Linked DNA regions of Drosophila melanogaster. The gene in region 2 interacts genetically with the main gene of each other region. Each region holds a gene or a part of one and is shown on either strand. Other genes may lie near its edges.

Region 1 (7,547 bases), on a different chromosome or scaffold from region 2:
ACTTTTCCCAGGGGCGTTTTTTCACTTCGGCTTCAGGATCGGGCTGCAATATGCCAACGAATTAAGATATTGATTATGGAATAAGTTAAACAAAGTTGACTTACATCCTTCTTTTCTGCTTGGGCGCGTCGTCGTGCCAGCGTCTTGGCCATCTCGTCCATCATGGAGGCCATGCCATTAGAGCTTCGTCCTATGGTTCCATAGTTGCCGCTGCCGCCACTGGACGTGCTGCTGCCGCTATTCTCCGGAGCAGAGGTGGTGACCTAAAAATAAAAAATAAACGGTAATACAATGCTTAGTCAAGTTGTATAAATTAAATAAATTGATATTTTACCTTATTCTTTTTGAGCTTGATCTGCTGCAGCTGGGAGGCCAGCGAGCCCATGAGATCTGCCTGGGGATCTTCCTTCTTAGGCGCTCCTCCCAATCCCGGCGGCGGAGGCGGTGGTGGTGGTGCCCCTGGTCCGCCCGGTGCTGGCGGTGGTCCGCCACCCATTGCTGGCGGTGCCGGTGGAGCCGGCGGTGGTCCACCGCCCATGGCTGGCGGCGGCGGTGCGCCGTTGAACATCTGTGGCGGGGCTGGTGGTGGTGGTCCTCCTCCAGCAGCTCCACCAAAACTGGGTGGTGGCGGGGGCGGAGCAGGAGCCGGTGGGCCACCTGGACCACCCTGGCTGCTCATCCGGTTTAGAGGCACCTGACCTGGCTGCTGTTGCTGTGACGGATTCATTGGCGGCGGCATGGGTACCTGACCGTACGGATTCTCTGCCTGCTGCTGGGGCGGAGGTACTGGTGGACCACCGTAGCCCGGACCTGGCATCGTCGGCGCCTGAGGTGCCTGTGGATGCGCCTGCGGGAGCATCTGCTGCTGGCTGGCGTACACAACACTGTTGGCGCTCGCGGAGCTCGGTAGATGACCATGACCCACCATGTACATTCCACCGTTCTGGAGCGGCGGCTGTGGCGCTTGCGGTGGCTGCTGCTGCGCCTGCTGTGTCGGGTATTGGTGCACAGTTAGATTGGGATTAGAATTGGAGAGCACGTAGTGGGGTTGCTGATACTGCTGTTGGGGTGTGATGGTGGTGGTGTGTCGGGGTTTTCAGGAGATTCAGATTCAGGATCAAGCCAATTTGCCAATGAAATGAAACAGAAATACCGCATGAGGAAACTGGGACGGGGTGAGGTTATAGCATATCGAACTCACCTGAGAGGGCGCATAGCCCGCCTGGACCATTTGCTGATATTGCTGTTGCTGCTGCTGCTGCTGAAACTGTTGCTGTTGTGGCTGCTGCTGCGGTGCCGGCGGAATCTGTGAGTTCACCTGCTGTGGCAGGCCATTCGAAGTGGGTCCATTTCCAGTGGGTCCATAGTGGGATCCTGGCTGACCCATTTGCTGCGCCTGCTGCTGCTGCTGCTGCTGTTGGGGCTGTGGTGCCGGTGGGGCGCTGAGGGAATTCCTTTTTGGGTGAGCAAAGGTTCGGCGTGGGATGGGGATGGATCAATGAGTGATATGAGAGATGAGACACGAGAACTCGGATAAAAGTGTTGGCCCCTACTGCTCATGTGTAAGTGGATAGAAATTGTTCCCAACTTGCGTAATGCAATCCTACAATTGTATCCTACATTACATATCTTGCAAGAAAATGTATCTGCATCTGAAGACTAATGAAATTTTTGATCTTAGGATTCATTTATAACAACCACGGATTTTCAGCTTTATAATGTTCAAAGAAAACTGATGTTCCTTCCGACCAATATGTGCTAATGACTTATTCTCATAAAATTGAATATTTCTTGAATGGTTAGATCAATCGAGTCTAAGCTAATGGGTTTTTCCACAGCAATGAGCATGCCGTATCCAACACAATTAATGGAAATGGAGCCTACCTGCTGGTGCGATGATGACCCTGGGGCGTCGGCGGGCTCTGGGGGATGTTATTCTGGTTGGTCTGCGAGGTGGGCGTCTGGGCCGAGGGCGTGACGTGCCCACCTATGCTGTTGTTCTGACGCAGTATGGCTGCATCCTCGCTGGTCATCGTGCGATAGCCCATGTCCTCCTCATAGCCATTGCCATTTGTGGGCGGTCCACCTGGGTTGTTCGCCACGCGACCACTGAGCACCTGAGAAAGACATTCAAATGTTAGCGAATGATACAGATATTGGTTGTGAAAGAGATATACTTACTTCCAGGGCATGCATCATGGCCCTAGCAAAGTTCTCCGCATCATTTTGGCTCGAGAAGTTCAAGCCGTAAACGAATTTCGAATCGCGCCACTGATGAAATGTTGCCGTGGCCTGATTGTACTTCAGTCCCTTCAGAATGGAGCAGTTGATGACCACCTCGTGATCCTGCAGCTTTCGTCCCACCACACGGAACGTGTTGTTCTGCTGGTGGTGGTAGATCTGCACCTTGCTCAATCCCGACGAGCTGCCCGATGGCACCCACTTCTTCTGGTTGTCATCGTACACCATCACAGAGGCCCGCGCCCCGATAATACTCTGCTCACTGCAAGAAATAAGTGTGAATATTATGGTTAGTTGGCTGACTTAAATGGTATGGAATGGAACCTTGAATGTGTATGGAAATGATGAGGACTTAACACACTTCAAGAAGTTCGAGCTGAAAATTTATTATAGGGAATAGCCCTTGCCTTGAGAAGAAAAGATATGAAAATGTGCGAGAAACATATATGTATGTACAAAAATTCCATTTTATGATGTTAACTCTTTTAAAGTCTTAAAAGATCGTGGGAAACGAAACGGAAGTTGTGCTAACAAATTAGTCAAATTTGGCAACTTTATTATTTGCACTAAACGAGTTCAATAAAAGAGATACAAATTTATTGATGGCTTTCGTGGGATTGGAAGTAAAAAGTATATATTGTTCTATGGAAAGCTTCTACATATATTCATAGAAATCGATTTTCCGTCATAATAAAAAAAACTTCTTAGACTCGATTAAGACTTCCCAGAAAGAATGTCGCAATGAGCAGTCGTTTTCAGATCATTAGATCGGCTCTACAATTTGCCCCTTGAAGAACTCATTCAACTGCACTTTACTGCACCGTGATCTTCCAGACTTTTCACACGCCTCAAGTGAGCAAGGGCTTTGATCTATGTATACCCTCGACTCCCCTCTAATCCCATCGGTTTCAGGACAGGAAGTGCAATGCATTTCTTTGTATGCCCGCACACCTGTCATCCAGCCAGATGATCGTCTCGAGTCGCACGGACCGATTAAATGATTCTAATGAAAGTTCTAATATGAACGTGTATATGCTGCATTCAACCTTTAGCATTTTCTCCCCCCGGGACACTCAGTTGAGTTGACAATTAAAGTCAGCCAGTGAAGTAAACATGGCCAGCGACAAATGAACGCCTTCATTGGAAAAATGCAAAGGCGATGACGAGTTGCCTTGCCTTTTGCTCAACTTGGCTATGTGGTGTTCTTTCTATCCTATAGCTCCGTTCTTTTTTTTTTTCTTTTTTTCTCTGCCCCTTTTTTTGTTTTTGCTAGCCTGCACCGCTCCAAGTTGCCTGAGCAGCTCCAAGTTGCTCCAAGTTGCTCCGAGTTGTGTGTTACTGGGGGACACATAGAGATAATGACGGAGAGCAGCCGCCAAACGAGTCGAGTCGGCAGTATTCTCGCTACAGACTTGGCCCGGCCAAAAGCCGCAAGTAGTTTTGCACTTAAATGGAGTGCGCAGATCGGCGGTACGGACGGCTGGACAGACGGACGAATCTCAATCCGAATCCGAGTCGCACTCTGGCGGCTGGCACAGCTGTGCGCCGTTTCAGGGCCTTATATAACCACCGACAGTTTGGAGCTAAGTCTTATGAGCCTGTCCGCTTTGATTTGCATCGAAATTCGTGGCAACGAAAGTGAAGTTTTTTTTTTCTGCACACTATGAGAAACTGCGAAACAATAGCGGTCAATCAGTTTTTTTAAATTTCTGTTTTTTACAATCGAATCGATTTATATCTCATAAATTGGATACTACATATTCGAAAATAATTATAGGAAGTCGGAGTGAGCAAAAGAATTGCTTTTGTAAAAGTGTTGTACTCTTTTAAACAATTTTAATGCAACTAAAATTATTTCAGTAGTTCGCAGCAGCAAAGTAGTTGGGATTAGTAATGCATTTTGTGACTAACATTCAGTGCATAAATGCTTTCATTCGATTTTACACGTAATAAGTGCCTATTAAACGTGCCAATTCCGAGATTTAAGCTACAATCATAGAACTGTACGACTGTTTTAATTACATTAGATTGTAAAGAAATGGAAATGAGTTCATGAATCGTAAAATCGACACATGTGATACATAGTATTTTAATCGTTAAAGAAAGCAATTAAATATTTCAGTAAAAACTAACATCTTAATCGTTTTTTTGCGCTGTGCAGCTGAGTGGAAAACCCAAATGAAAATCGAAAAGTGCCCCGCAAATGGCCAGTTAAATGGGATGCTAATATAATTGAGCCACTGGAAAATCGCTTTGGGAGCATTTTCAATATGTGGCAGGTGAAATTTTCTATGCCTTGGGGATTTATTCGTGCGTTAAGCTTAAGTTTTTAAACTGCAGCCGAGTGCAAGATGCAGATTCGTGTGCACACGATAGCGTTTTCCAGCTTAATTGGCGTTAAATTATAATTATGATTAAACCGGAGAGTACGACGGCGGCTGCTCTGTGGGGGTTAAGAGTTCTTTGATTTACGAACGATCTCACCAAGCTGTAAAACGCATTCAAAAGTCCAGGGCCAAGTACTACGTGCTGAGATTGAAGAAGTATAGTAGAGAAAAGTGGGGAAATATGGGAATTATTACAGAACCCAACCAAGGACAGACGCATAGGGAAGTGGGTTACACATACGCAAAAATCGTTGTAATGCCCCCAATGAATTTATCTTTGACCGAATTATGGCGACGTTGTAATGTGTAGTGTTGTTTCTGCTGTTGTTGTCGGATCAGATAATGATGTATGTTGCTATAGAGATGTTGCTTGTGTTGCTGCTGTGCCTGCTGTTGTTGCTGCTGTGTCGATAGTGTTGCTGTTGCTGCATTTGCTGCTGCGGCTGTGGCTGCTGTTGCCGTTGTCGTTCTAATTGAAAACGACATGGAACAGCCCAGTTTGGAGGGTTGAGTTTTTGAGGGTTGGTTCGGATTCACCGAGGGATTCGAGGGCGAAACGCATTTGCGCAAAGTGGAAAAGATCAGAGATGAAGAGGAGGATGGCGATGGGGATGAAGTTAGGGTAGATGAGCTGGCTATAGATGTGGCTGCAGCACTTGATGATGAATCTCTTTGCGCTGCCGTTGGTACATACAACATCTGATCCTGCTGCTGCTGAGATCTCTGTGGTGCCTCATAGATGGGTCCTGCCTTTGGACTAGTAGCCTTGGGTAACTGCAGCACCAACTGCTCGTGCTCATGGTAGCGCTGCCTCAGCTCCTGCTGCTGATAATGATGGTACATGGGATGACGATAGTCCAGCAAATCCAGCTCCTGCAGCTCCTCAATGCTGTAGTACTCCGACTTGGAGCCCAGGCCGCCGACTGGAGGCGACATCTTGTGGTGCATACTTTGGCTGCGGCGTATCATTAGCTCACCGGAGTGACCAGGTGCCACCACCTGGAACTCGCAAATGCCATTGCCCGGCTGCTGATGCTGTTGCTGGTGGTAGGCCAATATCGGAGTGGAATTGGCGGCACTCGATGGCTTCTTGCTGGTGAACGAGGTCTTCGCGTAGAGCTTCTTCATGGCCATTAACCGTTGGCCAATATTTGCAGAGGCGTCACAGACACTAAACAGATCCCACGATCGATCCCACACTTAAGCACACTATGAAACCGAACGATCGGATCGGATCGGATGTATCGTATTTATGTTTGCCTAGGCTCTTGGATCTTGGCTATTCGCTCTCTGCCCACTGGTCACTGATCAGAGATCACCGATCACCATTCGTCGTTCCAAGATCTCAGCTGCACACGTCTGAACGCACTCAAGACCCGCTGGAGACTAAAGCCAAGATCCAGACCGAGATCGCGACTGGGTCTCAGAGACCGAAACGGTCTCTCAGTCGAGGCCAAGACAAACAAAAGCCGAGAAAAAAAATATATCTAAAGGCGAATGAGCAGAAAAGACGTGAGCGAGAAACTGAGTATCGGCTCACAATCTGTATTTTTCTCTCATTTTAGCGGCTGCTGCGCTTTGAATTCGTCTAAAAGGCAAATAATTACACTTCAAAGTCAATAAAATAATGAGAAATGATGAGATGTGCTATGGATGTTGAGCTGGATTGACCCCGAGCTGGGAACCGAGCATAATGGCCAGGTAGATGGAGAGACCACAACCTGACTCACAGTCGCTTCAGACGATTCCCAAATGGCATGACAATTAAAAGACGTGAGGGCAAGTAGTCTGCATAGAACCTATTGAGAAAAAACGTTCTCGTTTTACACGATTTTCGTTGAGGGAAGGATGTAAGATTCAGATTATTGAAAGGCGATTTTATTTTAATACTCAAAAGTTTATATTTTGAGAAGTTTTCAGGCACTGAAACAGAGTTTCAAGCAGTTTCCCTAAAATATGCAATATCTTCAGAGAGCTACAATGATACAATGAATTGTAGGGCATACCCTTACAACTTTTCGCCTAGCTATGAAATTGCGCAAGTTCCATCTCAAATTTCTTATGCAGTTTCGAAGGGTATGCGATAAGCTCTCGAATCTTACAAAGTTGCGCCCGAGGCTTTTTTCTGCCGGCAATCTTGAAGCCTCGCCGACGTCTCGTGACCGTCGTTTAACCAGTTGGTCAGTCTGTCCATCCGCCAGTTAGTCATTCGGTCAGTGTTTGTGATTCAGTAAGTTGGTTCCGTCCGTCAGTGCGATAATTACTTAAGAAACGAGCTCAATAATTTATATTTCCCCCTCGAGTGACTATTACAAGTATTTTTCCCTCGCTCGCTGCGTTTTTGTTTCCTTCATTTCAACTGTTCTTTGGCGGCGAAAAGCGGCGACGGCGGCGGGAAATGGGGGGGGGGAGGTACCTGGAGGCACAGCTTGTAGCATGTTATGAAAAATTCATATACAACATTGTCTATCTCAACTTGGAGCACTCAGCTCTCAGAGATCTGAGCCTCTGTTTCTGACTCGCTGGCTTATGTTTCAGTCTGATTCGGTTTTTTGCCCCACAACAATTCCTAAACGTTATTTCCAATTAACATTATTGTGGCCCATTGTAAGTGGTTGTGTAGTGGCTGTTGGTGGTTCACCGATCTCTGATTTGAGCCAACCGATTACCGGCTAGCTTTAATGGCTCTGTCAGAATGGTTCAGTTCGTTTTTTTTTTTTACCATTTTTGTTTTGTTTTTTTTTTTTTTTGGACCAGAGCGTGTGCCGCGGCTTAAATGATTTGGCAACTAAATATTTCTAAGGGGCACTACGAATGCGAGTACTGGAGTAATCCATATGGCTGTCCATAAAGACCCGCAGGCAGACATCGGACTGGAAAAAAAAAAATCATAAAAACAAACAGGGCCCACACATGTGA
Region 2 (4,622 bases):
AGTCGCCTTTCAGCCATTCAAACTTCCAGACTTCCAGACCGATGTCTCTCTGGGCTCTGCGTTCTGGGTTCTGGCCGTCGTCGTAAGCCTGTTGTTTTAAATAATTAATTATTGTTTGGCTGGCAAATAGTCGACTGGAGATCGAATGCTCTTAGGAAAGGCGTACTGAAGCCACGGCTAGTTGCAATTAGAAGTAAATACTTTTCCCCAAGGAGTGGCTATGTGTTTTCTAAGGAATTCGATCCAAATTGATTTTTTTATTAGAAGTAAAACTACATATTACTGAAAACCTATCACTCCCGTCCTAGTCCGTATTTTCGAATATTCCTAGAAGTACGTCGCTATCCGCTAGACCTTTCGCCAGTCGACTTGCAACACCTCCACCCACATTGGCCCGACTTTCAATCACATTCCTGCCCCAAACTGTGTGCCAACGTATCGGTGCTAGCTATGGCATGGATACTATCCCATAAGACCCCTCATTATCTAGCCTGCAGCTGGGAGCAAATGGGAGATCTCGTTGAGTGCCGGGCGATTGGTAGGGCAATCATGTGATTGAACAAATAACATGCTACGGAGCTGCCACAGCACTTGACTTCATTTCTTTCGCCCGGGAAAGTAGGAAAACTAAGCCAGAGACCGCTACTTAGCCCAATTTTCGCATAATGCACATGAGAAAATTGCACAAGAGCCGAAAGGCTTTTGCCAGGCGGGCACCCAAAAAAAAAAAACACAAAAACACAAAAAATGCCAACATAAACGGCCAAGACAAAGGAAAGGATAGACTGCCACCCCCGGAGTCAAAACGAAAAAAAAAAAAAAAAAAACAGAAAGAAGTGCAGTCAGTCCAGTTAGCTGGAAAAACGCTCCCCAGAGTGGCATTAGAAGGTTGCCAAGGCTGTCAACCCTGCAACTTTGTGTTGAGGGCGATAATTTTTATGACCCCGACAGATTCTCAAGCCGACTGCGATTGACCCACCACCCAAAAGCTGGGCTGCTAACTGGATCTCGCTGGTCACACACCACCAGAAGTGAGGAACAAAATCCTGTCGTGTGCCGGTGCAGATAATTTTATACAATTTATTATATCAAACGGGCGACGTCGCGTGCAACACTTGCCACGTCACATCGGCCATTTCGGGATGGGGACACTGAGATACAGATACTTGGTGCTGCAACACACAGCCTCAGGTTGCGTGTTCAAGTGTTTACTGAAATCCGAATTCAAAAATCCCAATCCCAATCCGAATCCGAGTTGCGTGTGTCCATGGACGATATCAGTGGACTGGGCGTCGTTGGTTTGGCATTAAAAAGCGTTTAATAAGCATTAGATTACAACATTCTCAGCGTTGCAAGGGGTGTGACGACTTAAGCTCATTTAGATATATGTTTTATCGGCGGAGGTATAGAGCCATGAAATCGCCAAAGGGTCTAATTTAAAAGCGTTGCTTAACTCCCATTCCTTAAACCGCCAACCTCAAACCATTTCGCTTTAGTTTTCTTTTTGAACTTGCCATCTCGACCACAAAAGCCACAAACTCGATTCTTTGTTTGATTTTCCTGTAATCAGTTGCGAGATTGGAGCGGGAAACTACACTCGGTTGATTAGTCTTTCGAACTCATTACTCATTTATCTAAAGTTCGGTTTTGGTTTTGGTTAGTGATCTTTCCCGAGATCCTCCCTAAGGGGTTTACAATTTCTGTGTTTCGATTTACCCTCATCCAACTGAGTTTCCACATATGCATTTTTTTTTCACTTTTCTCGGGTTCGATGTGTAATACGATCTGTGTATTCTTTGGAAGTTGTATTTAGTTTTCCCAAATGTGATCCCTAAGTGGGTTCAGTGGGTTAGCATTTGTTTTTTGGTGTTCGTTATGTGGTGATAAGGAATAATGAGGAATTAGCAGCATTGTTCTTAAAAGTATCCATACTAATAGATACTTCTTAACCTTCCCTAACCTGCAGAGAACTTCTGAGAGATCTCTGGAATTACGATACCGATTGCAATGCCCTGCCAAAGCCCAAACATCCAGCTATGCCCATCCAAAAGTCGCCCCATTATGTGCATCTCTAATGAGAATCGGGAGAGAGAGGCATGAATAATGGGTCTATGGGCAGAGTCGATGTCGCGTTGTCTATAAAGCGGCCTTAAAATCCATTAGCGAACGTTGCAGGCATAAATAAACCGCAGTGCCTTAATTTCACTTTGTTGTTCGGTCGGGCCGCGTGTGTTGCAACCAAAAATAGCCAAAAGACGGAGTCGACCAACAAAAAAACGTAAATGGAAACAAATGACGCTAATAAATAAATGGGGAGTGCAGCGACATGAGGAGGCAACTCATATGCGGCCGCGAAGGATTTTCCCTGGCTCTGGGAGGAAATAGTTTGTCATAATGCCCTTCAAACTAAAACAGAGATCCCACAATGCAACCCTGCGAATGCAACTCTGGAGATGGACGCATCTTGCATCTGTTGACACTTACCCTTGAGCGCTCCGACTTGAGTTAATCCGTTTAATCCCGCGAGGAGCAGCAGCAGTGGGAATACTGCGCGTCGACTCCGATCGACTGGCATTATTTTTAGCCGCTCCCCATGAAAATCTCGATTGTTTCTGTGTCGGCGTTTGATCTCGCTGGCAGTTTTATTTTTGATTTTGCTTTTGATTTTAATTTGAATTTCGCTTTCGTTGGTTAAACACTGAGGTTGCAACCGCAGCGGCATTCCACGCATCTCGCACAAATGCATTTTGTCAAGTATTCTCGTTTCGCCTCCTTAATTGCACACCATTTAAAATAGATTTGCACTCATTTCTCGATACGCGCAATCTTTCGGATCTTCTGTTTTGGCACACACAGTATTTCTGTTCCTCCGAGTTAGTTATTCGCTAGCATCTGAATCCATGGCGGCGCCACTAAGTCCGTTTCCCGGAACGACGACGCGCGTAACCCGACGAATCGAACGGATACGGATATATGGACTGTATCTGCATCCGCAGCACATGCGAACCGGCTGACAATCGAAATGCGACTGAGGAACGAATTCTCGTTTCGCCTCGGAGCCGCCACCCGAAGTCCACTTCGGCTACTGCTTCGTGTCTGTGTATCCGAGTACCATCTAGTATCTGTATCGCTTCGTGCGCTGTTCCGCGTTCCAGTTCGTCCCGCTTGTTGCATGCTGTGGAACGCGTTGGAACTTTGTTTACTTTTACTGCAAGACGGTTTGTTTTGTTCCGTCTTCACTCGTTTCGATCCACGTGCCCTAGGTTTATCGTCGAGTCGTGCAACATTTCGGGTGGTGGTGCATCATCATGTTGCTATTGAGTGGATGTGAATTGTTGGAATATGTATCTGACTTCCAGGACTAGATGGGGATTTCTTTGCAGCACAACACATAGTCATGTATTTATTGGCTTTTTTTATGAATAATCTGCATCATTTGCTAATACAAAAAAATCTACATTCAAACGGACTTTAACACCATGCCACATCCATTTCCAAGTCCAACTTGTTTATCTCCAGCTCTTTTCCATTTTTATTCGATCATTCAAGCTCTTTTTCACGTTGTCAAGCCAACAAATTGCCAACCTTTGTGCCGCTCAGCCTCAATAGTTTCCATCCGAATCCGAAAACATTTCGAGCTCGGATAATCCCTACTTGTTGCGCTTTATTGCCCTCCAGCTCCACCGTGTCCGCTCAACCCTTCGCCGGCGCAGAGAGTCGAAAGAGCCCCTCCAAAGGGGCGACCATTTCATATCTAATCTGCTCGAGTGCCCCACTCACTCTCCAGCTGTTAGCTCATCTATTTCCAAACTGCAATAAAGCCAGACACAGTTCTAGACGATCCGTTTCACAATGCGATGAATAGAAATCAAAGTGGAGACCCGTTCTTGGACACTGTCCCAATATCTAGACGCCTCTGCGCGCTAATGAATTTCGAAATCAATTGAATGGCCAGCTAGACGATATTGTATTAATTTATCAAAGTGCATATCCGAAAGGGCTTTCCTCTATAAATCGCTGCCTAATTTCCCAGCGTTTGTTAAATAATCAATAACTTTTCCTCCAGGTAGAGTTCTTCGGACGAGTGTGAAGTCAGTTCATTAATGCCGGTGCTCAGAAAATACAGATACAGATACATTCGACGGGCAGAGAAGTGTAAAATAAAGGTGTGTATCTTTCCTATAAAGGAACTATGCGTGCATTTAGGAGCGGGCAGGTGTGGATTCCCTTTCCCCCTCCACTTCCCCTTTTCAGAGTGCAACACAATGTGCATTGTCTCTGCGAGAAAGAAAGGTCAAAGTGCGTACGGCGTATGTGAGTTTGTTGCCTTCTCAAGTCCCTCGTTTCTTCGATTCTCCGATCCCGACTCTCGAATCCCGATTCCCACTGCCGCTCACCTTTTATAGAGGCGAAGAATCCAGGTAGAGGAAAGAGAGAATTCGTGGCAGGTAAACCATATTTCAAATGCTGATAATTGGCCAATTTACAGCCAGGGCGAGTTGCTCTGCTTGAAAGGCGAGATATCTGAGCCCGGTTGCCACGCTTCATTAGCACTCAAGTGAAGTTGGGCAACGCTGCAAGTATATACGATAATATATAATATATAGATACCTTATGTCCTT
Region 3 (4,733 bases), on a different chromosome or scaffold from region 2:
CAAGCAATAAACAAATGGAAACCCATTAGCCAAAAAAAAAAAGAGCAAAATAGCGGGAATAACAAATTGCGAGCTGTAGTTGGAGTAATTTTTTACGGGCGTGCGCATTTTTGACTCCGTGTCCGTGTTACTTGAAAAGACCGGCTGCACTGGTATTGGTAATGTGTGCTCCAGATCCCACTAAGCTCAAATACAAAAACATATCAAATAAAACCGACACATGTGGCCAAATGCAAATGCGCATTTTGTCGCATTCCAAGCCCAGCTGGTCGAGCGGATTTCGATCCGAACTGGTGGCTTTGCCGGTTTTAAGCCGCAGACAAACCAGCGACACTCATGGATACGCCTAATGCCATCCAAGCCCGAATTTGGAATTCGAAAACTGTTGAATACTTTACATTTAATCTAAAAACGAAATAGAATACTTAGCAATTTTATTCGAAACCCTTGCTTGGGGTTTATCAACTACAGATTGTCGAAATAGTTATATATTATTTATAAAAATCGAATGATCGTTTATTTGCGTTGAAGTTTTTGTAAGTCTACAAATTTTAAAACTCATATTATTAATATTTATAAGAAATACAATATACCCTCGGCATTTTCGCCGCCGGGTTTTATGGAAACCCGCACATATTAGATTTCTCGCACAAATTGGTGCGGTTCGGTGTCTAAACCGAGTCTCAATTACACCCGTTCGCAGCCCGCTCCCCCGATTTTCCACCCAACCCCCCTCCACAGCGGTTGGGTGCTCATTAGCTGAGCGCGGGTTACGCAGAGCATTCGGCTTGGGAGCGTTAGCAACCGCCGTCTACAGACCAGGCCACACCCTCTGCTCCTCACTCGCATTTTCCAGCTGTCCCCTCAGAACTCGGCCGACTCTGCATTTGCCCGATCATTAAATGCTTAACCAAATGAGTTAAAGCGATGTATCTGTATCTGTGGTTCTGAATGGGGTGTGTGCCATCACTTTGTTGTTCCAGGACACTGGGCGAAAAAATTAGCTCAGTTCGATTTATATTAGGATTTGAAATTTAAATCGCTTTGTTCTTGAGATACAATGTGGCTTCGAAAAATTGTCTGACTAGCTTAATTTCTCAATTGCAAATGTATTTTTCATCTTCTTTACTTACTTTCTAATTATAATTATTTTCTTTTCTTTAACACTTTTTAATATTCTGTAGATTAGAAAAATTTCTCCCAGTGATTGCATATGTTTCTGTGACTACAAGCAACATGTGGTCGTCTGTTTGTCTCCGTTTTTAAAGTCGCTTCTGCGAGCGAAGAAAGCATGGAAATTATTTCAGATATGTGAAATGGGGGCACGAGTTCTGAGCCCTCGAAATAATTGCTCTTCCCCCAATGGGGTTAAGTTTTGAGAAGGGAGTGCAGTTGGATGATCTGTGGATTTTTTCTGTAATTAGCTCCGAACATGTGTGGGAATAAATGCATACAGAATACTTTTTGAACGACTTTTTGACTTAATTTTATGCTACAAAGCAAACTAAGCAAAATATTTTTAAGAATATTTACCAATAAACTTAAGAGAAAGAACACTACATACATTAAATTGTATATATAAATTGATTTATCTGTTATTGGATCGAATTTTTAATGATTTTCCAAACAAGAAATATGACTTATCTCATCTTGTATTTTAACATCTGCCTTGAAGTCAGTAATGATTTTCTCTTTAAAAACCCATATAAAGATCTACAATCTTACCAATTAAAATTCCGGGTTCCATAGTCGTATAATCCTTGATTCGCTTAATCCCAGTAGCGAATTGATTTCGTTTCGATAAAATTTAAAATCACCAACATAAAAACCTATGCTTTTCAAGGTCGTATCGTATCGAATTGAATTACAAAATCGTTGAATCACATGGACACAATTCGGGTTATTTATTTCGGTTTGATTGATATGTATGCTTCGTGGTAAGACAACTGATATCGCCGCATTTCGTTTTTTTTTACCACTTTCGCACCATTTGGTTTTGTTTACCGCTTCGTTTCGTAATATTTCGCGTTAATTTCCAGAAATCGAAGGTGTGCCAAGAATTCTACAAAGACCTAAAATCACAATTGCAGAATGTCGAATATTAAAGGTGACACCTGTGATGTTTGTTTTCTTATTAGACTTTGTGTTGACTTTCCCACCAAGAAACAAATATGTTTTGCGCATGCGCAACGGCAAAGAGAATGAGCGAGAGAGAGGAAGTGAGCGGGAGTCAGGAAACTACCGTTAGGTTTTCCTCTGCTTTTAATGAGTTTTTGTGTTTGCCTGCCATTTTTAATTTTAACAAGCAGCGTTGTTTACCAATTTGATTGTTTTATTTACTTTTTTCCATTTTCTTTATCAATTTCTTAGTCTCTCTCTCTCTCTTTTTATCTTTCCCCGCTCTCACGCTCATCAAAAAGCAAACACCGGTTAACGAGGAACGCTGGAAACGTCCGAAACAGTGCGGCATTAAAAGCGAAAACCAGAAATGGAACGTGTGGCTATTGGAACAGACAACACTTTTGTTGTTGCTATCGTGGGTAATTTGTGAGTCAAAGAATCAAGAATGCGTGAATGTGTGTGTTTGTTGGAAAAAAAGAGTTAAAACCTCTAAAAACTCGATTAAAGACAAGGCAAAACCTTAAGTTTGGCACACCAATTGCGATTTCAAGCACTTGCTGTTGAAATTCCTTCGGAATTTATATTATTTCTCCACTTTTGCTCAAACAACTTGTGGCACACTCACACACGCGCACAAATTCTACACCTTGAACTTGCGTCAGCTTTTTTTTTTGCTCTTTCCCATTATCTTTTCATTTTAGGTAACCACTTTAAGTGCCTTTTTCAATTTACAAACTTTTCTTGGTTATTAAACTTTCGGGACACGCACTTGCAGCCAATTTTGATTTTCCTGCGCTGCTTCTTTTGTTACTTTTTCTTCTCGGCTCACAACGACGGCGCGCAGAAAAAAACCAGTAACATCATGGTGTTTATCCGACGCGTTTTAAGTCTTTACGCTTCGAAGTCAGAAAGCGATCTGAAACGCGATCGTAACGTAGCTATTCTTGTTCGCTCTCTTTGAACGATGATCTTATTGGAACGGGTTGCAGCCCAACTGGCCAAAGCGGGCGTTTCAGTTCAGCTGTTTCGCGCGCTCAGAGAGTGAGAGCGAGATAAAAGAGGAGTTTCTATTGGATTTCAATTAAAATCGAATCGGAATTAATTGAAGGGCTGAGCGCAGGCACAGTGGGGTAGATAATTTGTTTTCATTTTTACTTTAACAAGTTACTATCAAATTTATATTATAACAGATAATAACTCTTTAAATTTAATAACATGAAGTTACAAAGCAAGGTTTAGGAGTTATAGGACCTCAATGTTGTATAAAAGAAAATGCACTTAAACATGCATGTACGTAAATTACCAGAAAAGGATTTGTTAAGAACACAGCAGGCCTTTTTCCAAACCTCCCTGATAATTTGACTGTTGAAACCTGACATTCGGTCAACAGTTTTGGTAAGAACTCCATTCTAAATCAGGCCCCAAAAGTTTAATTTTTTGGCCCAAAAACAAATCCACCAGCAATCCAAGACTTAATTCCCACAAAATGTCACTAAATCGAGGAAGCAAGATGCTCCTGCGGGCGTTAACGCCCCAAATTTTGAGGCGTGGCAAGGCGGACTATGGCAAGACGGTGTGCAACCTGAAGATCAACAAGGCAACAAAGGTTCTAGTCCAGGGATTCACCGGCAAGCAGGCCACTTTCCACTCGGAGGAGTCCATAAAGTACGGAACCAATATAGTTGGCGGTGTGAATCCCAAAAAGGGAGGTACGGAGCATCTGGGCAAGCCCGTATTCAAATCGGTGGCAGAAGCTGTGGAGAAGGCGAAGCCAGATGCCACGGTGATCTTTATACCACCTCCATCCGCCGCCGAGGGTATTTGCGCGGCTATCGAGAGTGAAATTGGCTTGATTGTGGCCATCACCGAGGGTATTCCCCAGGCGGATATGGTGCGGATATCGCAAATGCTGAATTGCCAGGAGAAGTCCCGCCTGCTGGGACCCAACTGTCCGGGAATCATCTCGCCGGATCAGTGCAAAATCGGAATAATGCCGGGAGATATCCACAAGCGAGGAGTGGTGGGCATAGTCTCGCGGTCGGGAACCCTGACCTACGAGTCCGTCCATCAGACCACCAACGTGGGATTGGGTCAGGCTCTTTGCGTTGGCCTCGGCGGGGATCCCTTTAACGGAACTAGCTTCATAGACGCCCTCAAAGTGTTTCTGTCCGACAAGGAGATCAAGGGCATTGTCATGATTGGAGAGATTGGCGGATCCGCCGAGGAAGAGGCTGCCGATTTCCTTAAGGAGAAGAACACTGGCTGCGAGGCCAAGCCAGTAGTTGGCTTCATTGCTGGACAGACTGCTCCACCGGGTCGTCGAATGGGTCACGCCGGCGCCATCATTTCCGGTGGCAAGGGAGCGGCCAAGGACAAGGTGGCCGCCCTGGAGAAAGCGGGAGTCCGTATGACCGCCAATCCCTGCCACCTGGGCTCCACGCTCCTCGAGGAAATGATCCGCCTGAAACTGGTGCCCAAGCCGAACAAAAAGAAGGCTCAGGCCGGGAAGAAGTAGGAGTGGCGGAACAAGTTATTGATGCCAATAAACTAACTTAGTGCTCTTTAAATTGCTAAAATATCTCTTTTATTTTTTTTTCGAAGTCTAAATTATA
Region 4 (7,694 bases), on a different chromosome or scaffold from region 2:
ATAAATAATACTCAGTCTTGCGTAATACAATAATATATAACAGATAACTAAAAACCAAAACTAAATTTTCTTAGAGGGAGGGAGAGGGTACATTCTCGGAGATATATGTTATTACATGGGGCAAACAACATTAGCAGACGATGCAACTATTTACAAGTGACTAAGCAATTGGGCTGCTACTCCCGGCCCTAAACCCTCGACTGACCCCTTATTCCCTGACCTCTGACCCCTGGGTGGGCAATCACGCGGCAACAACAACGACCAATGAGGCGCAATCATCGTCGGCAGGCGCCGCCGGCTGTAAACTTTGTGCTACTGCCACTGCAACTGCAATTGCGGAATCGGAATCTGAATTATCCACCTCCTCATCCTGCCGCCCACTTGGCATGTTAATGCAAATGGCAGGCGTTGCTGTGGCCAAGTTGCTGGATTCCGAAGAGGATGGCGACGCGGATGCAGACGTGGACGATGAGGAGTCGGCTTTATCCTCCTCCACTGCCGCTGCCGCTGACAGCTTGCACTTTTGCAGCTTATTCAGCGGCTCCTGCTTCTCCCAATTGGAAATGCAATGGTGATGATGATGCACGGCCGCCAACGAGGGATAAACGAACTTCATGCCGTAGGCAAAGTGCCGAGGCTGATGATGCAGTGCCTCATCGTAGCTGGGCAATCCGGTGGCGATTGTGTAGCAGGGCGGCGATTCGATTTGGTAGAACCCAGCCTCGCTGCTCCGATGATGTGGATGCTGCATCTGCTGGTGCAACAGCAGTCTGCTGGCATCGCAACCAACCAGGTGCGAGGAGTACGAGTCACTGGCCGCATGGATCTGGGCACGTATGTCCTTATCTGCAATAAACAGAAGACGGAGTTTGTTAGTTGAGTTTGTCACCAGAAAGTTTCTATTGTTTAGATGGACAGAGAAAAAAAAGGGACTTTTTGGGGCAAGCAATGCAGAAAGCACAAATTAAGATTCTTTAAACATTGAGATATAACAATATTCCACGTAACTAATAGTTAAAATTAAAATTCGTTTTTGTTTAAAATTTATTTCATGATACTATTTTTTTTCATTTCTTGCTGTGTAGGAATAGCGGAATGGGTGCTTCCCAATCAGGCATCAAAGTTTTGACTCTGTCATTACTTTGTTTGTCCATGTCAAAGGACATTTGTAGAAGGACGGGCCCGTGGCATTAAATTCAATTTAGCGTAAAGGCGCAAACGCTTGAACTTTCCCGAATGCAGAGGCAAAAAAAAAGGCGAAAAAAATGGCAAAAAAGGGGAAGCGGAAAGTTTTGTGCTGACCGGAAATGCCGGCGAGGATGGCAGGACAGGCGAAGTTCCTTCACAGCGGACTGACTGCCACCCAAGCAACAACAGCAACTAGGCAATAATATGCCGGAAGTGCGCGCGTGGCAGAATGGAATGAAATAAAATACTCTCTCGCATACACACAGACACACAGGCTCACACATACACGTTCGCCAACTGCCAACTGCAATGAAATAAAAGCTCGACAGCCCCGGAAAGTAGGCAGCAGAAAGCATTTAATTTTTATAATGCCGCAGCTGCTGTCCATGTGTGTGTGCTTGAGTGTGTGTGTGTGTGCATGTTTCAAATTAAGCAGAGTTAAATTAAGATTGGAAAATTCCAATTTCCATGCACACGCGCTCTAAGCCGAGGCCATCAAAGAATTTAATTTGGTTGTATTTTGAGTTACAGCAGATTAAAAATGCATGAAGCAATAATTTGCCTCAAATAGAATTTCGGCCCAGCATATGTGGCATTGCAAAAAGTGGCAGGTATTCAGTATTATTAAATGCAATTTAAACTGCATTCAATAAATAAATAGGGGATCGCCTCTGTCCATTTTTTGTGTCATTTAATTTGGTTGCCGCCTCGCTGTGGAAAAACTCGGCAATTTTTTAATTGTTCAGGCTGTATTTTTCATAAATTCTCTGTTCCCGAAAACGCTTTTTCAATTAAAGCGCATCTCGCAGGAAGGAAAGGTGGTCGGTATTTCGGTTTTTGTGGCATGGGGTAAAGCCTGTTGAAAAATTTGCGCATTACAATATTAAAACGCAGCGGTAGCAGAACCAGTCAGCAGTTACAGTGGCTGCCAGCAGTTGTTGATTTATTGTTATAACTGTAACACACACACACACATATATAAATCCTTTTTTTCGGCCAGAACACCCTACATGAGGACTCTGTCTCTTTGTTTTCCCTTTTTCGACTTTTGTTTCCGTGCTTTTTTCCTTGCTCTCTGTTTGATAGACAGCCGGCAAACGGGGCCCTGGACTAAGGGGGCGTGGCCCACTCATACACAGACTGCAGGCTTCATATTTTATGCAAGTGTTGAACAAACAGCCGCCCCTGAAAAAGGTGTACCCCCCCCTCCCCATCCACCAACTCAGCCGCTTCAAGCATTGCAGATGGACGCAAAGAAAGTCGGAAAATCGGGAAAAAGGTGGCCGATGCACGCAGAAAATTTATATTACTAACTAGAAGTCCTATGGTGATATCAAATGTCTTTTTTTTATTCACTTTCTATTATGCAAACCAGTTAGTGATGTTATTTTGAGGAAAATAAAATATCACTAACGGAACAAATATTTAGATACAAAATTTAGTTTTTATTTCGCTCTCTGTGCGGTTGGCAAAAAAAAATTAACGCCATTCGTTGATGCCTTTTGTTTTTCAGCTGCATTGGCACTTTGCCTTCTTTCTCTTTATTTTTGCATTTGTATCCTGTCTTTTTTCCCCATTTCTGTTGTCGATGCGCCCAAATGTATGCAACAATTTAAATTCATCGCAATAAGCTGGCACTCTCGAATGGAAACTGGCAAATGGAAAGCAGTGAGCTGCTTTATTTTGTGTTGCCATAAATGTCTGTTAATTTTTTAAACGCCCCAACTTTTCTGGCTTTATTCGATCTGAGTGGAGTTTTTTATTTAAGAATTATGATCATTGTATTTAAGCTGCTTTCAATTGTTATTAAGCCGCCCATTGAAATGGGTATTCGATTTCGAGTGTTTCCATTTTTCCCACACAAAAGATGCAGTCTCAGCCATTAAAACTTTTGCCAGCTCTATTATGTATGCCTTTCCCATACCACTAAGTGCTGGTCGGCTACAAAACAATTTGGTTAATTACAGCACTCAATTTGAGTTTGCCAAAATGGGGGTAAAAAACTACCAAAGCAACTAAAATATTTTCCATGGCCGAAAAAGAGAGCAGCTTCTAGTTTTTCTGCGCTGCTCGCTACGAAAACCATTAAAAATTTAAAAGGACTGCCGGGCTAAGAGCAACTTTTTCTGGTCTTGGGCAAATATGCTACGCTTAATTACATTTTTACGCAACTAAATTATGCAGGACCTATACAACATGATAAACAGTGGCTGTTGCTCCTCGGCTTGGCTTTGGCTTTAATTTAGTAACTTCATCTGGTCTGTTAATAAATTCAGTCGTAGTCCTCCGCTGCACTAATTGATAACAAGCCAAAGCCAAAGGACCGAAAGTTTGCCATCGCCAGTGTGTGTGACAGTTTAATAAATAAGGTGTAAGCCTGGCTGCCTGGCTGGCTGAATGGCAACTGGGCCAGACACTCTTGTGTTTGGGCCTCGTTAAGCATTTATAAGGTAAACACTGCGAGACGCCACGTAGCTGGCATTAAATGCACAAAAGCCGAAGTGAACTCCGGCCTAGTTGCTTAATTATAAATGACACACGTACTTCTCGTATCCCAGTATCCCAGTATCCCGGGCAACCTATCCCACCAACCACTTGCTATCTATCTGGGCCATAGGACCAGGGAAGAGCACACAAAAAAAAAATAGAAGCACAGAACACGACACTAACGAAACTAATTAGACGCATTGGACGGCCGAAAGCAGGCAACACATATCGCTCAAATTGATATTTCACGTATATATATATATATATATAAATGGAGCTTTCCGGATCCACCCTTCTTGGTCGCGTGTCGTAATCGCAGGGCAAAGTTTTTAAGGCTCGTTAGCACAAAATTGACAGTTTGACAGTTGAGTTGGCCAGGCTTTAAGGCCACGGCCCTTTGGCCCAAGAAGTTGTGCTCACAGTCCCAGGAACAGGACGAAAGTTTGCTCCTGGCCGTAGTCCTTCACTTGCTGCCCGGCCTAAATAAATCATTTGGCTAAATTGGTCTGCAAAAAGTTTGACACTTGAGTCGGAGTCTTGTTAGTTGTGTAGGTTGTTTAGCCAGCCCCTCCAATACAATTCCATTTAGGTTCTGTTCAGTTCTGTTTGGTTTAGTATGAGTTGGGTTCTTTGTTGTGGTGCTCCGTAATTATGTGTAAAGTGCCTAAACATATGATTTATTTTTGGGATTGGGATCAACAGGTTTCGAGCAGATAAGATATATATTTACATGGGCTCTATTTGGGTTGAGTGTTGGTAATCTGGGTCGGATTTAGGTGGGATTTTGATAACAGTTGTGTCAAACTTGATTGATTTTGGATTTAATACTGGACTGCCAGAGCTGAACTAAAAGTGTGAGAGATGTCAGAAAAATATGAAATTCAATTTTTAATGTTTCTAGGTCCTAAACTAATATCAAACAAAATAAATATTTTACAATCTCGCCCACTTACAAAGGCCACATTTCCTCAGACTTTAGCTACGCAGCTGAGTGATATGGTCCATCATTATTTTATTATATTACTCTTTACCGCCTCGGCCCCCAAAACAAAATATATAAATATCAAGGCACAATTTCACGCCTTTCGCCTGCAAAACAAATTTCGGGGCAACAATTCCAATTTTTCGAGGGAGAAGGGTCGACGAGGTCGTCCATATTCTCCAGCTCGTACATTATCGCTATCATAAAAGGGGCACAATGCCTCCGAGGCGAGTCAATTTAATATTATAAATATGCGGCACATATATTTTGTGGCATAATAAACTTGTGTATCTAAAATTACAACAGAACGATGCAAACGGCTGGCTGACAATTTCGAAGCGCGCCAAAAAATTTATGAGGCTTTGCGGCCATAGGAGCTCTATGGAGCAAAGCTCCCAAGCTGATGGAACCGATGGGTGGTGGTGGGACCTGTTTCGGTTGCTCTTTCTGTTTCTGCATTTTATATTGTTTAGCCAGCTGAATAAATGGCCGGAGATAAGGCTTTGGCGAAACATTTTGATTAAAGTCGAGCACATAAAAGCCAGATGTATGGCATTTTGGGGGCGGAAAATGAGTGGGGATTATATTTGGGTGGCTGTCCGACTGAAACTTACTGCATTTTTTCCAAGTGCGGAACTTCCTGTAGAAGTAGCAGCTGAAGAGGATGAAGACCAGCGACAGAATGACCAGCGAGCTGACCACTCCGATCCACAGATAATTGATGATCACATGCATGTCGGCATCCCCGAAGATCTGGCTCCACCACGAGGATTCGCCCGATTCCTCGGACCTATCCCGCAAGTCGGCCAGATCCAGAACCACCGACTTGGAGAGCTGCTCGGTGCTGATGCTGCCATCCGGAGACCAGCCGCTGGGTGGAGCGGGATCGTAGGACACCGCTGCGTTGCCAATCCTCTGGAGCAGGGCGTTGAAGGAGTTGAGGGCGTCGATGTGTCGCAGATCGTGGGCACTGGGTATCTCGAAGGTGATCTGATTCTGCTGCAGGTGCTCGGCAATTGCAGCGGGACTCATGCTGCTGGCCGGCGCGGATATGTACTCCGCATAGAGCTCTTCGGCAGTTGTGGTGGTCTCCACTGTTGGATAATCCGTGGTGCTAATCATGGTGATTGCCTTTGATTTATTTTAATTTGTAAACTTTATTTTCTGCTTGCGTCTGGCACACGCACACAACTGCTGGCACACTCGCGTCACGACACGTAAACAAATCGTTTGGCTCTATATATAAGTCATGGGTTCGATTTCGGGTTTTTTATTTGCCGTAGAGTTTCTATAGCTCGATTTTCGGTGCGTCCGTTCGCTGGAGCGGCTATAAGTTGACTGACTGCTAGCTGGCAGAGCATAATACCTACATCGGGTCGCTGAGAATGCCATGCCATGCGGGAAATTTGCCATTCCACTCACTCATTTTCTCGATTCACTCGCTCTTGAGTGAGTCGTGGGCGAGGCACTCAAGAAATCAAGTCAAGTCCTTGCTTAAAGAAGCATGCAATTTCTGGCATGTCTTTTATGTTTTTAAATGTTTGACGTCCTTTCGCCTTCTCCCTGCCTTATTTTTTGCTCTCCAGCTGACCTAGTTTGACCAAAAACTATATTTTCCGTACGAAAACCAGAGAAAAAAACGCTGTTAAGAAGGGAAAACTTCACCTCGGTCACGTTCGTTGTTTAAAGTTTTTCCAACGCTTTTCGGTCTTGTGTTTTTCCAGCAAATTGCTTTGTGGCAAAGTTTCAGTCTGTGCTGATTTTAATGAAAGGCAAAAAGGGGTTCTGAGGCATTTGATAAGCCTGAGCGCGAAGTTTGCGCCAAATCAAACGAAGAATTATGGCCAGCTAAAAGTTTTGTTTGGGCCATGAAGAATTTATGGAAATTATGTGACGTCTAGCTTTTAGCCATCTTAAACTAACCCAGTTTTCACTGGCTTTAAAGTAGCCCAGAGCCCAAACTGTAACCAGAACTCAAAATCTCGACCATTATGAGTCCCTCGAGCGTCAGGATACCGCAATGCTTCCTGCTGCCAGCAGTTGCTGTTGCTTCCAAAAAGGCTAAAATGGGGTACAAAACAACAAAAAATCAGGAAGGGGATTCGACCCACAGCACGCTTCATTTCTGCTCATGCTGACCATAAGCCGGCAGTGTGGCAAAAACTCAATGCACAAAAGGCTCCGACGACACAAAAACGTGCCAAAAATATCCTGCTCAGAAAGTGGAACAAATGCACTGCACCCGAACTCACTCCAATGTCATTCGAAAACCCACTCGAAAACCGGTTCTTCTCGGAGAGACTTGGACTCAAAAAGGGAAATTTTCTCCCACTTGATTGCGCACTCTCTCTCTCTCTCTCTCTCTTTTGCAGTTTTTCTCGCTCTCTCTGGTGAGTGAATTTTCCCATTTCCCTGGCGCAAAACCAAACTAAAAATGAGCAGTCGATGGCAGTTGCCTTTGAACTGCCCTGGGTTAAAGGTCACACGGTGTGTTGTGGGTGTTTCAAAATGTCAGAGGTCTTGGGCGGCTGGAAAATACGTAGTTTTTCCCGACAACTACAATGTGTAGTTTCGACTGCCTCGTAATTGCCAGGGGGAAATTGAAATAGATGCCCGATAATAAGCACTTAGCTAGAGACCAAAGTCACTCGATAAATGCATTAAAAACTTTTCCGAGCCCAGGCGAAAACTTCTGCACTGCACTTTGGCAAGCCGAGCTTATCGTTAATTAGCTTTCGACTAATTTTGAACTTGAGCATAAGTTTTAACTGCAGCGATTTTAATCAATGCGTGTTTGCGGGCATACTTCAGTACGTTGGGTAGTTCAGGGAAACTTTGATGGCCTAAATGCAGCTAGAAAATAATCATTTCCTTGGTATATTTAATAACTTGTTGGTCTTTGGTGTAGTCGAAATTCGTAGTGGTAACAAAATAAGTGGGACTTAATATAAATCAGGCTGTACAATAAGAATAATCATTTTAATAATTTTATATATTTTTAAAGCATGAAATAAATGCTTTTGTACAATTTTAGCAA

The links.
Region 1: of robo2 (region 2) and ena, changing one suppresses a phenotype caused by changing the other (phenotypic suppression), as found in Drosophila melanogaster (2 studies listed by BioGRID).
Region 3: of robo2 (region 2) and Dys, changing one suppresses a phenotype caused by changing the other (phenotypic suppression), as found in Drosophila melanogaster (one study listed by BioGRID).
Region 4: of robo2 (region 2) and comm, changing one suppresses a phenotype caused by changing the other (phenotypic suppression), as found in Drosophila melanogaster (2 studies listed by BioGRID).

What each region holds. Positions count from the first base shown.
Region 1 is NT_033778.4:19,153,690-19,161,236, reverse strand, and holds the start of ena (enabled), read right to left. Parts: upstream 6,017-7,547; 5' UTR 5,763-6,016; coding exon 4,870-5,762; intron 2,504-4,869; coding exon 2,182-2,503; intron 2,118-2,181; coding exon 1,885-2,117; intron 1,455-1,884; coding exon of another isoform or gene 1,443-1,454; coding exon 1,202-1,442; intron 1,061-1,201; coding exon 335-1,060; intron 264-334; coding exon 105-263; intron 44-104; coding exon 1-43. UniProt on the Drosophila melanogaster protein: Functions, together with Abl, trio and fra, in a complex signaling network that regulates axon guidance at the CNS midline. Required in part for robo-mediated repulsive axon guidance. May be involved in lamellipodial dynamics.
Region 2 is NT_033779.5:1,417,420-1,422,041, forward strand, and holds the start of robo2 (roundabout 2), read right to left. Parts: upstream 3,035-4,622; 5' UTR 2,747-3,034; coding exon 2,485-2,746; intron 1-2,484.
Region 3 is NT_033777.3:19,461,839-19,466,571, reverse strand, and holds the start of Dys (dystrophin), read right to left. Parts: upstream 3,040-4,733; 5' UTR 2,933-3,039; exon of another isoform or gene 2,891-2,932; intron 2,073-2,890; 5' UTR 1,748-2,072; coding exon 1,726-1,747; intron 1-1,725. Other genes in the region: Scsalpha2 (Succinyl-coenzyme A synthetase alpha subunit 2), read left to right, coding at 3,608-4,636.
Region 4 is NT_037436.4:15,722,426-15,730,119, forward strand, and holds the start of comm (commissureless), read right to left. Parts: upstream 6,006-7,694; 5' UTR 5,780-6,005; coding exon 5,272-5,779; intron 847-5,271; coding exon 242-846; 3' UTR 1-241. UniProt on the Drosophila melanogaster protein: Controls axon guidance across the CNS midline by preventing the delivery of Robo to the growth cone.